Linked DNA regions of Drosophila melanogaster. The protein of the gene in region 2 interacts with the protein of the main gene of each other region in a pairwise test. Each region holds a gene or a part of one and is shown on either strand. Other genes may lie near its edges. The genes, in order: CG15445 and CG30403.

What was found.
Region 1: the proteins of CG30403 (region 2) and CG15445 interact in a two-hybrid assay, tested with the Drosophila melanogaster proteins (one large-scale study listed by BioGRID).

What each region holds. Positions count from the first base shown.
Region 1 is NC_004354.4:21,114,582-21,122,421, reverse strand, and holds CG15445 (uncharacterized protein), read right to left. Parts: upstream 5,262-7,840; 5' UTR 5,018-5,261; exon of another isoform or gene 4,960-5,017; 5' UTR 4,927-4,959; coding exon 4,807-4,926; intron 4,107-4,806; coding exon 3,651-4,106; intron 3,561-3,650; coding exon 2,760-3,560; exon of another isoform or gene 2,675-2,759; intron 2,644-2,674; coding exon 2,164-2,643; 3' UTR 1,978-2,163; downstream 1-1,977. Other genes in the region: unc (uncoordinated), read left to right, coding at 6,079-6,388, 6,682-6,966, 7,082-7,840.
Region 2 is NT_033778.4:21,708,158-21,714,560, forward strand, and holds CG30403 (uncharacterized protein), read right to left. Parts: upstream 3,457-6,403; 5' UTR 3,312-3,456; coding exon 2,964-3,311; intron 2,513-2,963; coding exon 1,952-2,512; 3' UTR 1,738-1,951; downstream 1-1,737.

The DNA.
Region 1 (7,840 bases), on a different chromosome or scaffold from region 2:
AGTGGAAATTCCTGAAAGAGAGTGCATACAACTGTCAAGTGCTTTCGAATTCAAATTCGCCATGTCGCCGTCCAGAAGCCCGTGTCCCCGCTCCACCCCCGGAATTAGGCCAACCAGAACCATTCTCATTCTGAGTCGGTTCTCCATGTCCATGTCCACGGGCCCAGACCACGCTCAAATGTTCAAATGTCCAACAGATTCGCTTGGCTGCGTATCAGTTGCGCGTAATGTCCAAAGTCATTATGGCAAAAATCGCAAAAAGACTAAACGTTAAAAATGCTGAAATTAAAACTATATATACGAATTATGAAATTGTTTATCGGAATAAAGCGAAGCGAGCAACTAAAACGGCCAACTAGCGATGACAATATAGAAACTGGGAACTAAAGTGGCAAAAAGTTAAGCTAAAGTAATTATAATTTAAAAACAAGCTCGAGACAAAAGAGCACACGTCAGTAATCCATAGTGTAATTCTCTAGATACAATTACAAGATTAGAAACGTATTTATGAAACATTTAAATACTTCAGATAGGCATTGTTTTGGAGTTTAAATTTTTTATAAGCTTAAATCATTTCGGGTTCAGTGGATTTGGGTTCACTCAGGTCTTAATCATTTCATAGGCCAAAATCGCATCAACGTATAAGGTGGAATTATATATACTATATACATACTACAGACTATATGCCGTGTAATATATATATATTTTTTTTTTTTTGCAAATCTTACAAGACACGGACATGTCGCTCAAGAGTATACTTTAGTTCTATAATCTTATTAGTAGAACCTCAAAAATGTATTAATTATATTTTGCCCTCGTTTTTAAAAACCGTTCGCAAATTACAATAGGTGCAATTTACAGTCTCCTTGAAATCATTCCGGGTTCAGTGATGGGGTTCATTCACTGCCGATTTCCATTAAGCCCAAGCCATTATTATAAACTGCTCCGGAATAAGTGTACGTGGATGCCTAGTGGCTTGAGTCAGCTACTGGCTTCCACGTGCTACCTTAACACCCGACATTCACTCCCACTTGAGGCACGCATGCGACCGCCTTCACTTGGAGAAGGGTTGTTGGGGGTAAATGGGGGTTCCAAGTGGTGCTGGCTCTTTCCAATAGGTGAATGACTGATTGCCAATCGAGAATCGTGAACTATCTATTGGCAATTTAACCATTCTACTTCGATTTGGATTCTTGCTTTAATATAATTTTTTCAGATATAAAGTTTTGTTTCTTCAAATTATATTTTTATGTATATATCACGTGTCTTAGCTTAGCACTATAAAATAAACACAAGTATAGCCACAGACTGTACGATATAGGACATTTTCAGATATTTGAAGAGTATGATAACTACCAAATTCATTTTCCTATCACACCTAATTTCATGAGAGCAAATACTTTTACGGAAAAAAAAATCCAGTTGCTAAATTTTTCATTTCGCCCAACAAGGATGTAAAAACACATGTTTGCAACACATTTGCCGCAGGATACTTTAATCCTATGGCACCGTGCCAATTTGTACAAGACAACATTTTACATACTATTCACTCTGCGAGTAACGTGTATAAATAGAAAATTACTATTTTACACATATGTATGTACATACATATAGAAAACCAATTAGTTGACTTATAATATTTAGTCTTGGTGCTACTTGAATAAATAAATAAATTCTTTGCTAAGCAAAGCAAATACTTACAGCAAATCGTGTAAGTTCCGCTCAATTCGTCGACGGGATGAGCTTAGTGAGCGGCGCCCTTTGGCCTCGACAAGGTCACGACTGAACCCAATCAAGCGCCGCCGTCCGAGCCGGGGTCGAGAGTCAAGCGACAAAAAAAAAAACAAACGATAAAAAAAAAATAAGCAATGACCAGAGGCGCTAACAAGTTTCAGGTGGCTCCAAAAGGTGAATTCTCCCGCTGGCTCGGCGCAATCACATTTTGCAGTTGTCAATAGAAGGCATGTACTTATAAATCTCTATATTTTACTATTTGCCTAGTTGGACAAACAGCAGCCGGGAGGGGAGCTGAATGCCACTTAAGTGCCATTATAAGACTACGATTTGCAATATAGACAAGTCATGATTACAGTTATCTTGACAACCGGTTTCGGGTTTCTATATTTTTTTGTATAGATATAAAAAAGGCAAGTCAAATACAAGCTACTGCTGCAGCATATTGAAATACTCAGTCAGGATCTTCTCCTCCTGGATAAGTGGCAAGTCCAGGTATTCCAGGTCGCTCAGTTTGAGGTCGGAGTTAAAGCGCTCGTAGGCCTTGTACGTTTCAATCTCGACGCGAGCATGATTGATAACAGCTTCGATAATGGGCGCTGGCAAAGCAACTTGCGTCTGCCCGGAGGCGTTCGAAGTAGAGGGGCCGTCAAGATTTTGCCCACCATTTTCGGCCAAACGCCCAACGTGCTTTAAAATCGCTTTCAGCTCCTCCTCGCTCTCTATGGCGCACATCAGACTCTCGATGGCCTCTTCCATGTTATTTGATGCATTCTGTAGGGCCACGCGCGAGTCGTTCTCGTTGAATCCCAGTTGCAGAAGCTGAGCCAGTTTGGTCGTGTCTACGGTGACCGGAAACCATGGCGAAGCACCAGTAAGTTCGTCCGATTCTGTCTGCAGCAGTTCCACCTAAGAAAAAAATATTTCTATTATTTTATAGTTTACAAACACGTGACATCCATGAGATTATAGTTAAAACATACTGATCAATTCATGTCATTGAATATATTCTTGGCCACACTTACCGCTTGGAGGATATCATTATTAGAGCGCTGCAAGGCGATAGTGGCCAGTCCGCTCTCGAATCCCATGTCAGCAAGGCTGCAGACACTGCGGGGATTCACCCAGGTGCAATCTTTGGAATTGGAGCGCTTCAGGCGGCGCTCCATAGCACGCTCGGACGCTTTATATTTCATGCGTGCATTCTTGAGCTGCTGACGACGCTCGTGAATAAACTGAACAGCCTGTTCGACGGCGGTGCCGCCCTTGCAGGAGCGCAGGGCCATACGAGCCTCGGAGGGCTCGAAGCCCATATCGACCAGGAGAGCCAGTTGGTCGTTGTTGATCTTTAGTTCATTTAGCAGAGTTTTAGCCGCTTCGAAGCACTCAAATGCCTGATTGCGAAGATTCTGGTGGAAGAAGATCACGCCCTGGAGCAACTTAAGCCGCATAATTAAAGCCCTCTCGGGACAGTCCTTGCCCTTCAAGGAGTACAGCCTCTCCAAATTGTCGCCATAGCTGATGCCGAAATTGCGACTGCAGCGGGCCAAGCGATGCTCAGCATCCGGGAGCTGGGTAACGTTCTTCAGGCAAAAATAGCACCACACTATGTCGAGGTTCAGCAAAGCATAGTTATCCACGGACTCTAGAAACTTTGAGCCACAGGTAGAAAAATGCTCGTCGGCCTCCAAAAGCAGGAGCAGAGCCTCCTCAAAATGCTTGCGATTCATGGCCGCACGGGCCTTCTCACAGAATCCCAAACCCATGAGCAGGGCTTTATGCTCGGAAGGCGGCAAATACACTTGGCTGCCATTCTGATCCTCCATCTGGGCATGACACGAAAATACAAACAAGTGGTGTGATTTAAAAAACCTTCTAAACAACAACCTAAGCAACTTTCCTTCCGATTTACTCACCTCTATTAGGTTATTCTTCGAGGACACCACCGCCTCCACATCGGCCTTGATGCGATTGATCCTTTCGTACAGGGCTTCGCCAGAATTATCCCCATCGCCCACAATGACAATCAACTGCTGGTTGTTCTTCAACTGCTGGTCGGCCAAAGTGGCATTGGCGGACACCACTTTGCCGGCAGCGATGCACTTGACGTGCGCAGCATTCGGCACTTCCAGTTTCTTCGCTATGCATGCCTGGAGTTCGGAGCCCACGATGTCCAAGCTGCACTTCACTTCCACCATTGTGGCACCGCTGTGCTCGCCAACGCGGCGAACCTTCAACGTGGCAATTCCTGTGGTGCTGAACTCACGTCGGGCGGCCAGCGTACGGAGAGCATTTTCCTGCAGCTCGGTCAAAAAGAACTTGCAGCGACCTATATCGATGCCCAACATGCCGGAGTACTTCTGCGCCAGGTTCTTTAATGAAATGGATACACATCTTATTATAGAATAAAATATTATATATTATATTAATCCAAAGCTACTGAGTTCCTGAGTATGAATGCTGGTAATGTGCTATTCTTTTGACTACTATTGGTCTTACTTTATTTTTAAAATCCCTCAACCTCTATTTATTGAAAAATAAATAATAATTCAAGAAAGCAATCACATTTTCACACGCCAACAAATCTATCGGTTTAAAATCTTATTTTTATTCTAGGCGTTATAAATAAGTCGAAGCGAAACAGATCAAAAACCTATATAAGGAAACTAAATAATATCTTTGTCGTTACTCTTGTAATTCAGAATTATTAAAGTATAATAGGAATTTAAAAGATTCGTTTGTGCAATGTCATGTTGTTTTTTTTTTAAGTATTTTTAATTGGACAATAATATCATATGATCAAACTAATCAAACTAAAATAAGTGTTAATAATATGAACTTAGCTGAAGGTGTATATAAGTTACGGCTTGTCGAAACTAGCTTCTTACTTCTTCAAATGTGAAAAGAACTAACAAATAAATATATAATATATATATATATATATATATATAATATATGCATTTTGAATATAATATTTCTATATTGCCAACCGTATTTCAGGCATTCTTGTCATTTCCCCGACCACTGACTGGAAGGCATTTAGGTGTGGGGTGGTGGGCATATAGTACGTACTTCTAGTGCTCCCTCGATGCTACCAAGATCTTCGGAGTAGTAGGGCTCCTCCCACAGCTTCTCGCCATCGGACTGGAGAAGGGCGCGGATCTGGATGAGTAGGTTGTCGTTTTGTGACATTTTCGACGATGACTTGGCAAAAATTGTGGCGAACTGGCTGAAACTGACGCGTCACAAAGGATCGGGCATGCTCTAGATATTTACTATTTACGAGTGATGTGATGTTCTGGTTCTTCTTCTTCCTTGCACATGTGTTTCTACACGAAACAACAAAGAACGATGCGCAGTCGTTGATAATCGCGGGGTTGGGTGCAGTGGAGTAGACTTTAATTTTGGGCGGGTGACAAATAAGAACTATTTACGGAAATTTATTTAATGTGAACTGTGCTGCGTCTTCGTATGGGATAAGCTCTGCCTGGTGGAATCACCGCAATTGGGTCTTTTTTGTCGTTTGACACAACAACTGCAACTCGATAGCTATCGGCTCTTGCAGCACTCGGCCATCTGTCAGCCACAGCGAAACGCTTGCAAAAGCTGACTGACATGAACGTTCTGCCCGTTAATAGTCAAAGTCTTCAAATTTGGTTTTTTATAAAAACGCATTGGCAAACACAGCTGTGCTTGTTGATTTATATTATATTATTTCTATACCATTTAACGCAAGAAACTCATATTTCAGTTTCACCGTCAGTACGGCTGATGCACTTACTACTTAGCAATCAGCTGTTTTGCGGACAATTATCTATCGATAGTCAACTGCCAACTTTAAAGCGGAACTGTTTTGAATTAAAATTCAAAATATTATTATTGTGAAAAATACACCAAATACACGCTTCCACAAGAAGTATTGCTGTTTTAATATGGGCTCGGCAGTAAATACTGCCGCCGTTATAAGTATTAGTGAGCAATTACTTATGATAAATAAGCTTTTGCTTAGAATACCATTTCATAGAACTCAGTTGTCATATATTTCACTTAATTTTTAGAGCACGCTTCACATAGGCAACACAGCTGACGCCTTTAGGAGGACCAACCCCCGACGATCGAGTTGACCTCCTCCCCAATTTCACTCAGTTCCCAGGTGGCAGGGCAGGCTCCGTCGCACCTGTCACATTTCGCTGTTGGTGGTGAGTGTCTTGCGCTCGTGCTCGTTTTACCTGGAAAGTTCAGTTACTCAAACGCGGCGCATGTAAGCGGCGGTCAGAGGTTCTATCCGAGCATACGCAGACCAACTCTCGATCCCATCCGAGCCTCGAGTTCCTTCAGGACGGCATGAAGGTTCGCCACGTGCCGGCGAGCACGACAACGTTATCGTTCAGGGCGAAGCAGCGGGATGTGGGCGGCATCGGCATGCCTTGCGAGCGGGAGCGGAAGCACGAGGCCGCAAAGCGGGAGCGGGAGGAGCAGATTAAGCAGGAGCGGGCCACAGCGGCGTCGGCGACACAGCGGGTGCGCCAGCATAATCGAAGGATCAGCACCGACGGCGATCCCGCCAGGCGGAGAATGACGCAGTCCAGGGAGCGACTCCAAGCAACCGGACTGGGCAGACCAGGACCGTGCGGACCATCAAATATAACTAGAGGTGGGCCTATTATTTTTATAATAATATTAATATTTTTATTATTATTATTATAAGTATTATTATTATTATAACTATTATTATTATTATTATAATAATTATTTTTATTATTAATATTATTATTATAACTATTTTTATTATTATTATTATAACTCTAAGAAACCAGCAATCTTTATACTCCGACGTACACAAATTTGTTCGAAAAATAATCTTTTCAAATTAAAATATTCAGTACAATAAACCTTTACGAACTTAATAGCGATTCATATTCACTGATAATCCCATTTTGTGTTCAGTAACGCGGGGATCATCATTGCCCCCGGAGGTTGGAGCACACGGATACCGCACAGGAAGGCCTACCAGAAAGCACGTACCTATTCCTCAGGATCAGATTGAGGAGCAGGATGACTCCGATGCCAGGGCGGAACGGCTGAGGCAACAGCTCGAGGAACTGGCCGCGATGTCGGAGCAGGAGTTCGAGGTGAAGTTCCGCCAGTGGCTGGACCAGGAGGGGATTGCCCGGGAGATGCACTCTCACCTGCGGGTGGAGCTCATTCACTGCTTCAATAATACGGCACTCGGTGGGTTTGCTAATCAAACTAATGAAAGATATTTTACTATTTGGCATCTCAAAGTTTATTGAAAACCCCCTTTTTAATTTATTAATCGATCTAACCATAAATGTACCCGTTCCAGGCCAGCTCTTGAGCAAGGCTGCTGGTGTGCAGATGGCTCAGTCCCACGCACTGCTCGTCTCGCCACTGGCGATGGTGCTGCACACTCTGGTGGCGGAGTTTCTGCACTCCCAGAACTGCCACTTCACACTGTCGGTCTTCTGCAGCGAGACGCCGCATCGCAGCAACCTGCCGGACTTCCGGAGTCGGCCGGAGTTCCGATTCCAGACGGAGGAACTGCAGAAGGTCGTGGCCGCCATACTGGGAGAAAAAGAAGCTCTAGCGGATTCGGAATTTGGAAAGCTGGCGGAGGCCCACTACGAGGAGGATCTGGCTGGACAAACGCAGTGCTTGCTGATGGCTCTTATGCGAACGCTGGTGGAGATCAGGAGGTCCGTGCCTAAGCAGGAGGTGGAACAACCGGTCCCTGTCTCTCTGCAAGACACCGGCTGTCAAACGGAGCCCTCTGCCTGCGTGGAAGCTCGTCCCGAGGTGGACACCACTGGTCTGTATCAGACGGAGGAGCACGAGCTGATTCTGGGCGCAGATGGCCGAAGTGTCTTTGTGGGCGGTCGTGTCTCGCAATCTCTGCATTCCGTGGAGCAGCAGCTTAATCAGCTGATTAAGAATCTCCGCCATTTGGCCAAGTCGTGTGCTCCGCCCGTTGAGGTGATATCATCGACAAAATTCGAGGATCTCCTAATGAAGGAGCTGCGCGAAAGGGAGCGACTTTTGAAAGCTGGTCAAGCATTTAACCCGGGCGAACCGGTGATCAAAATTG
Region 2 (6,403 bases):
TTTGGGTGTTAATAAAAAAGTTTACTTCGCATATACATACATGTTCAAAATTGTAAAACAAGCGACGGTAAATTCTTTAGAGATTTATCCTTGAAGGATCATAAATTAATCAGTAAATAATCCCTGGTTAATTGATTGTTGTATCAAGCACGTTTTAATCGTTTCCTTAAGCTTCCACAGCAGGTGGAATCAAAACCTGAGGTAAGCCCCTCGCGATTCACTTATATGGCCTTCCTTTCTGGTTCGGATTCTCTTTCGATTTCAGTTTCTGTTTTGTGCTCCCACCTTCCACGGGGGGGTTCGTTTCTGGCGAACAGCTGATGCGGCTGCATGTGCGCCAAAAAGGGGAAATCGGGGAAAATCTGGGGAGCAGCTCGCTAAATAATACGGCTGGCGATGGCCCGGCGACGCGTTGTTGTTTTGTTAGTGTGGTGGTGTGTGTTTTGGATAGAGCTTGCCGGTCGCTAGCAACAACGAGCAACGTATGGGAGTGCGAATCCGAATGCCCAACGCCCCACGCCCCATGCCCCATCGGTCTCCACGGCCAAGTTCAGTATCTGTATCTTCGGCACATTCCGTGGGGCCTATTGTTGCACCACCAGGCGGCAGTGGAAGTGGCAAAACCAACACGAGCAACAGGACTAACTCCGTTGTGACCCAATTTAAAGCGGAGCTCTAAAATGCAACACTAGCCACTGTCCAAACATACATACATATGTACATATGTGGGCGGACTACTCGATGGGGGTTCTTGGTCCTTTGAGCCCAATTGGACTTTTAAGTAATTAAAACTTTTATGGTGCGTAATTTTTAGATATGATAATGTGATCCCACCACTACCATGAAAGTAAGTTTATTAGATCAAATTTATTTGAAAATATCATTTTGTTATTTACAATTTTTTAGTTAATCAAAATAAACTGTTTGTGACTAGATTCTAATTACGAAACTAAAATATTTCTACAGTTTGTGTCAGTATCGGGTATTGGTTGTCATTTTGAAGGTAACAGGCGAAGGGTCTACAAGAACAGTTAAGCCCGACTTGCGAATTCGGGTAGGGTGTTGATATGCTGCGAATAAACTGGCAAAGTTGATAAGCAAAAGCAACAACAGTCGTGCGTTTTGTTGTCGTTCGTCGTCCGGTTTCAGAGTCTCGGTTTTCTCTTCTCCTGAGAATTTATTCAGCACATACACCGGTTGTGTGTGTGTGTGTGTGTGTGAATGCGTCACATTTGCTGAAAGAGTCAAAATTTGAAATAAAAGATATATCCGTAACTAAATAAAACATATTTGCAACTGATTATAGATTTAATTGAAATATACATTACGCATTACATTATGTCACATTTTACACGCACTTTACTCGCGTGTATTTTACACAGCTCACCAACACACTCAGTCGGTCGAAGAGAGTGCCTCTATTTGCTGGTTCGCTGTACTGTACAGTTTTGTTTTCTCCCACTCGCAATGTTTTTGCCGTCTTGCTTTTCTGCTTTTCTTCCGGCGGCACAGTGAACGCTCGCAAATCGAAGCCACTAGATAATCCAGCAATGATATGTTACCATGAATGGTAAATTATAAATTATCTAATTTACATTATTTTTGCATATTTTGTAGTTTTATTTTTTCTGTTCCTAGGCGCATCAGCCGTACAGCAAAGGTTTAATTTACATAAATTTAAATTCGAATTTTTCGATTTGGTATGAACAAAAATATATTTTTCTTCCACTTATCATAAATTATATAACTTATATATAACATGAGGTTGCTTTGTCGTTGATTTTAATCCAATATGATACTTCAAGAGTGTTTTTAAACAAGAACACACAGCACATAAGCATGGTTAATTGTACAATGAAGATTTTCTGCCAAATTATACAAGCAGATAACGTATAACCATATTCACAGATTCATTTAAAGGAATGTAATCTCCACCATTTTCAAAAGAAACTTAGTTTTTAGTTAGAAATATGTCCATATCGCCAGGATGACCGTTAATCTTACGACGCTCCATAGAGAGCATATACTGGATTTTCGACTGCATTAGCATGGCACTGGCCAATGGCATATTACGGATTTGCGCTGCAACGCTCAACCCGAAGTAGGTGAATTCGTCCTCGCCTCGCATTTCAACTCCAAGGCCAACTCCATTCGTCCGTCCAGCTGCCGATACTCCCAGGCCCAATCCCAAGACCTCACTTTTTTCAGAAATGGAGCAGGCTGTCGACAGAGGACAGTTCCCTGCTATCGGAACAGGCGCTGGGTCTGGATGTACTGGTGAGATGATGTCTCCGATCTTGGGCACGGAAGGCGGTGGAGTGGGAGGCTCCTCCACGGGCATAGGTGCTGGCAGAACGGTAAATAAGGAAGAGGGTGTAGCATCCAACGGCCTATCGGGGACTGACAAGTCATCGGGATCTGGCTTAATCTCCGTCTGAATCTTAATCGGCTTCAGTCTGGTAAGTCGAATCTGTAGGCGCTTTAGTTGAGGAATTGATGTTTCCAACTCATTCTGTAACCAAATATACATGAAATTAAATGAAAACCAGTCGGCAATCTTTTCATAAACATCTATTAACTAACTATAATAATTATTAATAAAAATGTTTCATTAAAAACCAATCCTACCGCACAATGTGTTTTCATATTGATTCAATTTGTAGATTGCGATATATAGAAAACATCATGACCGCTGTGACCGCAGTTTAAGCTTAAGAGCAAAAGACTGATGCTTCAATTCTGTCCCAAAAGTTTTTCAAAGCCCATTGAGTTTATTCACACAGTGGGCCACACAAAATGTTCGTCGAGGAATATTTTAAATTCCGAAATGAACAAAATTTATTTGTGTGCTATTCATTTCTAGTGCTTCAAAATCCTCAATAGAAAAATAAGTCATGTTCTAAATCTTATTTTATAATACAAATGCAAATTTATACAAATGCTTAATCGTAAACATCCCTTACCGTGTCCAAGAACTCTGCCAAAAACCCGTGAAGTGGGGCAAACCAGGGCGTCTTTGGCTGATATCCCGGAATAGTTCGGATCTTCTTTAGCTCCTGGTGGTACCCAGTACGAAGATTCTTGATCTTCATCTTTACGCCCTGGATGGTAAGACCTGACTCATATGGTTCAATATCAGCATTGATCCCGGACTGAATTCGCCGATAGGCGGCGCTTCGAGCTCGTCGCAAATATGGTCGCTTGTTCCAGAGACAAGGTTCCCGGCCGTAAAGCTCTACGAACTTGACCGTACGCTCATCCGAAAATCGATAGGGTAGTCCCAACACGCCGGGCGGTACGGCACTGTTCATGGCCGCGTTCAAAATATAATCGTTTTTGGAAATGCTTTCTATTTTTAGAGAACCCGCTTTGGCAATGGTCCCTCGTGCCAAAAAGCACAAAGGGAAAAAGCACAAACGATAACCACTTCGAGCAACTGCTGCTCCACAACTGACGGTGTACATGTTGCTTTCTGCTTTTCTGCTGCTTCTCTCCACCGCTCCTCTCGCTCATGGATTCTGTTTCTGTGATGCTTTTGCTGTGTGCTTCTGCAAGTCTGCTTTCATAAAGCACAAATGACAGAAATTTTAAACTGTTGTCTAGAAACCCCAAAATTTAATGAGCTACCGAAAAAAACTACTTCTTAGTAACGCAGTCCTTGGCTCTGACAACGTATTCAAGTATAAGAATCAAATTACATATTGAAAATGTTTTCAACACTTAAAATCCCAAGAAAAGCAAGTAAACCACGGTTTTTTCAAGCATTGCCAAAGCAAAAACGAATGAATGTGCTGACGAGTTGCTTTGCTACTTTTGCGAACGAAAGAGAGCGCAGGTCCGTTATTCGGGACGCGCTCTTTGAACACGGTTGCGGATTCAAAGAGTTTCTTCTTCCGACTCTAATAATGCAAATTTCTATTCTCTCTATTTTATTCAAAAAATTAAAGCATATTTGTCTTTCAGTAAAATCCTGCAAGCGCCCCTGTAAGCTTGTTCATTCATATACATACATACATACATAAAAAATAACGGACTCACGCACATAATAAAGTTGAAGTTATTCTCAAATGAAGACTGGGAGAGGGATCGCGCATTAACAGCAGCTGTTAATTAACAGAAAGCATTTGGGCTCGCCCATTTCGAATTAATATTACAATTTCTTCGAACCAGATTTTCCCTCATGCAATCTGTGTGCAACGGAATGCAGTTTCTTTCCTTCAGGTAGGTTCCATAGTTGTTTGTCTTCCCTTCGCTCTTGCCCCTTCGCTTTTCCTGTTTCATCCTTCGCTATTGTGAACTTGCAACAGCGCGTGACATCGTTATCCTTTGTGCCTACAGGAGGAAAAACTGCAGCCACGATTTTGGATCCTTTGTTCCCGTTTCTGGGCATTTACGATTTGATTGTGGGAAAATGGTTTGCTGCATCTGCCGCTGAAAATCTAGCCGATATGTAACGGTTATTTCCCTATTAGGATCTTCTGCACATAGTATTTAATTTAACTTCAGATCAAAAGTTGCATTGTAGTTTTTATAAAAATTAAATTCAACAGTACTATGTATTTCGAAAAAATATCTTTTTTATCTAATATAAAATGGTATGTATTAATATAAAGTATTAACGAGTTTAATTGTCATTAATTTTCGATTAGTTTGAAAAATCAAAATTCAGGTGATATGTTATATAGATCTACATACATACATATATAGGAACAAGTTTCTATCAACTGTACTAAATCAAGGGTAGGCTGAGAAGTTATTATATATTTTTTAAAATATTTAATGGTACCTATTTTTTGGGCATATAAATTTTGGCGCCATTTTTAAAAAGCGACCCTCGTTCTTTGTACTGCTCAACTAAGAGAATTTGATTCCCGTGCAGTTTGTACTTATGGGAAAGTGGAAGAAAATGAGAAACCGCAAAATAGTTGCAATATTTCGCAGGAATCGAGATGTGCATTTATTTGTTTTTGCCCATTTAGTTCGTCCACTATTGTGCAAAACGCATTTTCCCTGCTTAGCGTTTTATTTGTTTTTACATGCCATTTATTGTATTCCGTTTTGCTCCCCGTCGCAGAGAGAGGGAGAGAACTCTCTTACTCTCTCACCAATACCAACACGGCGTCGCTGCTTGTCGGCGTTTCTTTGCACTCTCTCATCTTCTCTCGTTTTTTTCGTTGTGCCAACCGTTCCGTTCTTCCGTACAGTTCATTTTTAGCCACACAAGCGCAAGGTTGGTTTCCTCTACTGAGTTCTAAATAATATTGTGCAAGATAAAATGTAAAAAGTATATGGAATTAGTTATACAGATATAAGTGCCTAGTTGTGTGAAGCATATTTGTAGTGCGAAATTCAGTTTTCCGTCGTTAAATCAGTTGTGAATTTAATCAAGCAGCGCGTGTCTGTACCCCCAAGCCAAAGAGCAGAGAAAGCGTTGCCATTTTGGCTTTGACTTCTTCACTTTGCTCGCTGCTTCTTAGGCCTCGCCTCAAAATGGCCGCCAACGTCGCAGTTCCCCTTGTTTTCCGCTCAAAAAGTAGCAATTTTCCAAATTGTTTTCTAGACGCCAAGCAAAACGCGCGCCTTTTTTGCTTTACTATTTCCTATAAGATATGCGGTTTTGTGCATTTGTTTTTACCCGACATTTAGCGTTTCTCTTTTAATTTGCCGGTTCGGAGTGAGAGTGGCGTTGCTCTCTCTCGCTCTCTGAGAGAATGAAATGTAGTCTGTTCAAGTTAATTTATTTGTAAATAATTTCTAATGAAATTATTATATTTTTATAAAAATAACATTTGTGAATATCAGCAGTAAAGAAAGTTGGGGAATAGTGGTAAAAACCAAAGCGAACCGCAAAGCCACGCAGTTCTCCCGCACTCTCTCTATCGAACATCTGCCGCCTTCTTTTTTTTTTTTTGCGCACCTCTGCCGACGTCGACTGTGAGAGCGCGCTGCCTTCCTTTTTGGCAGTCGACGCTGACTCGTTCAGTTTTTTTTGAAGCACAAGCGACAAAGGTTGGTGAACGGACGGCAGCAAATAAGATAAAAACTTTAAAAACATCAATTTTGTGACATATAACGCATGCATTAGTGATAAACCAACAACTTGTTCAAATAAACGGCTAGTTTGCAACTTACTCCAACAAGAGCGAGCGAGAGGAAGAGTTCAAAGAGCGCTGTGATAAAACACGTTAAAAAACCAACATTAATTGCTTAAAGCCCCTTAAAATTGCCTCGCCTGGACAAATTAAGTGTTTCTTTGAAATCTGTACACCAAACGGCTATTTCCCCAGCATTTTCGAGGTTTTTTCATACATGTTGAGAGCGCGTCGCAGTCTGTACCAATATAAGGCAGTCATCGCATACAGAAAAAGTGTGTTGCCGTTTCGTTGCTTCCGCACTCGCCGTC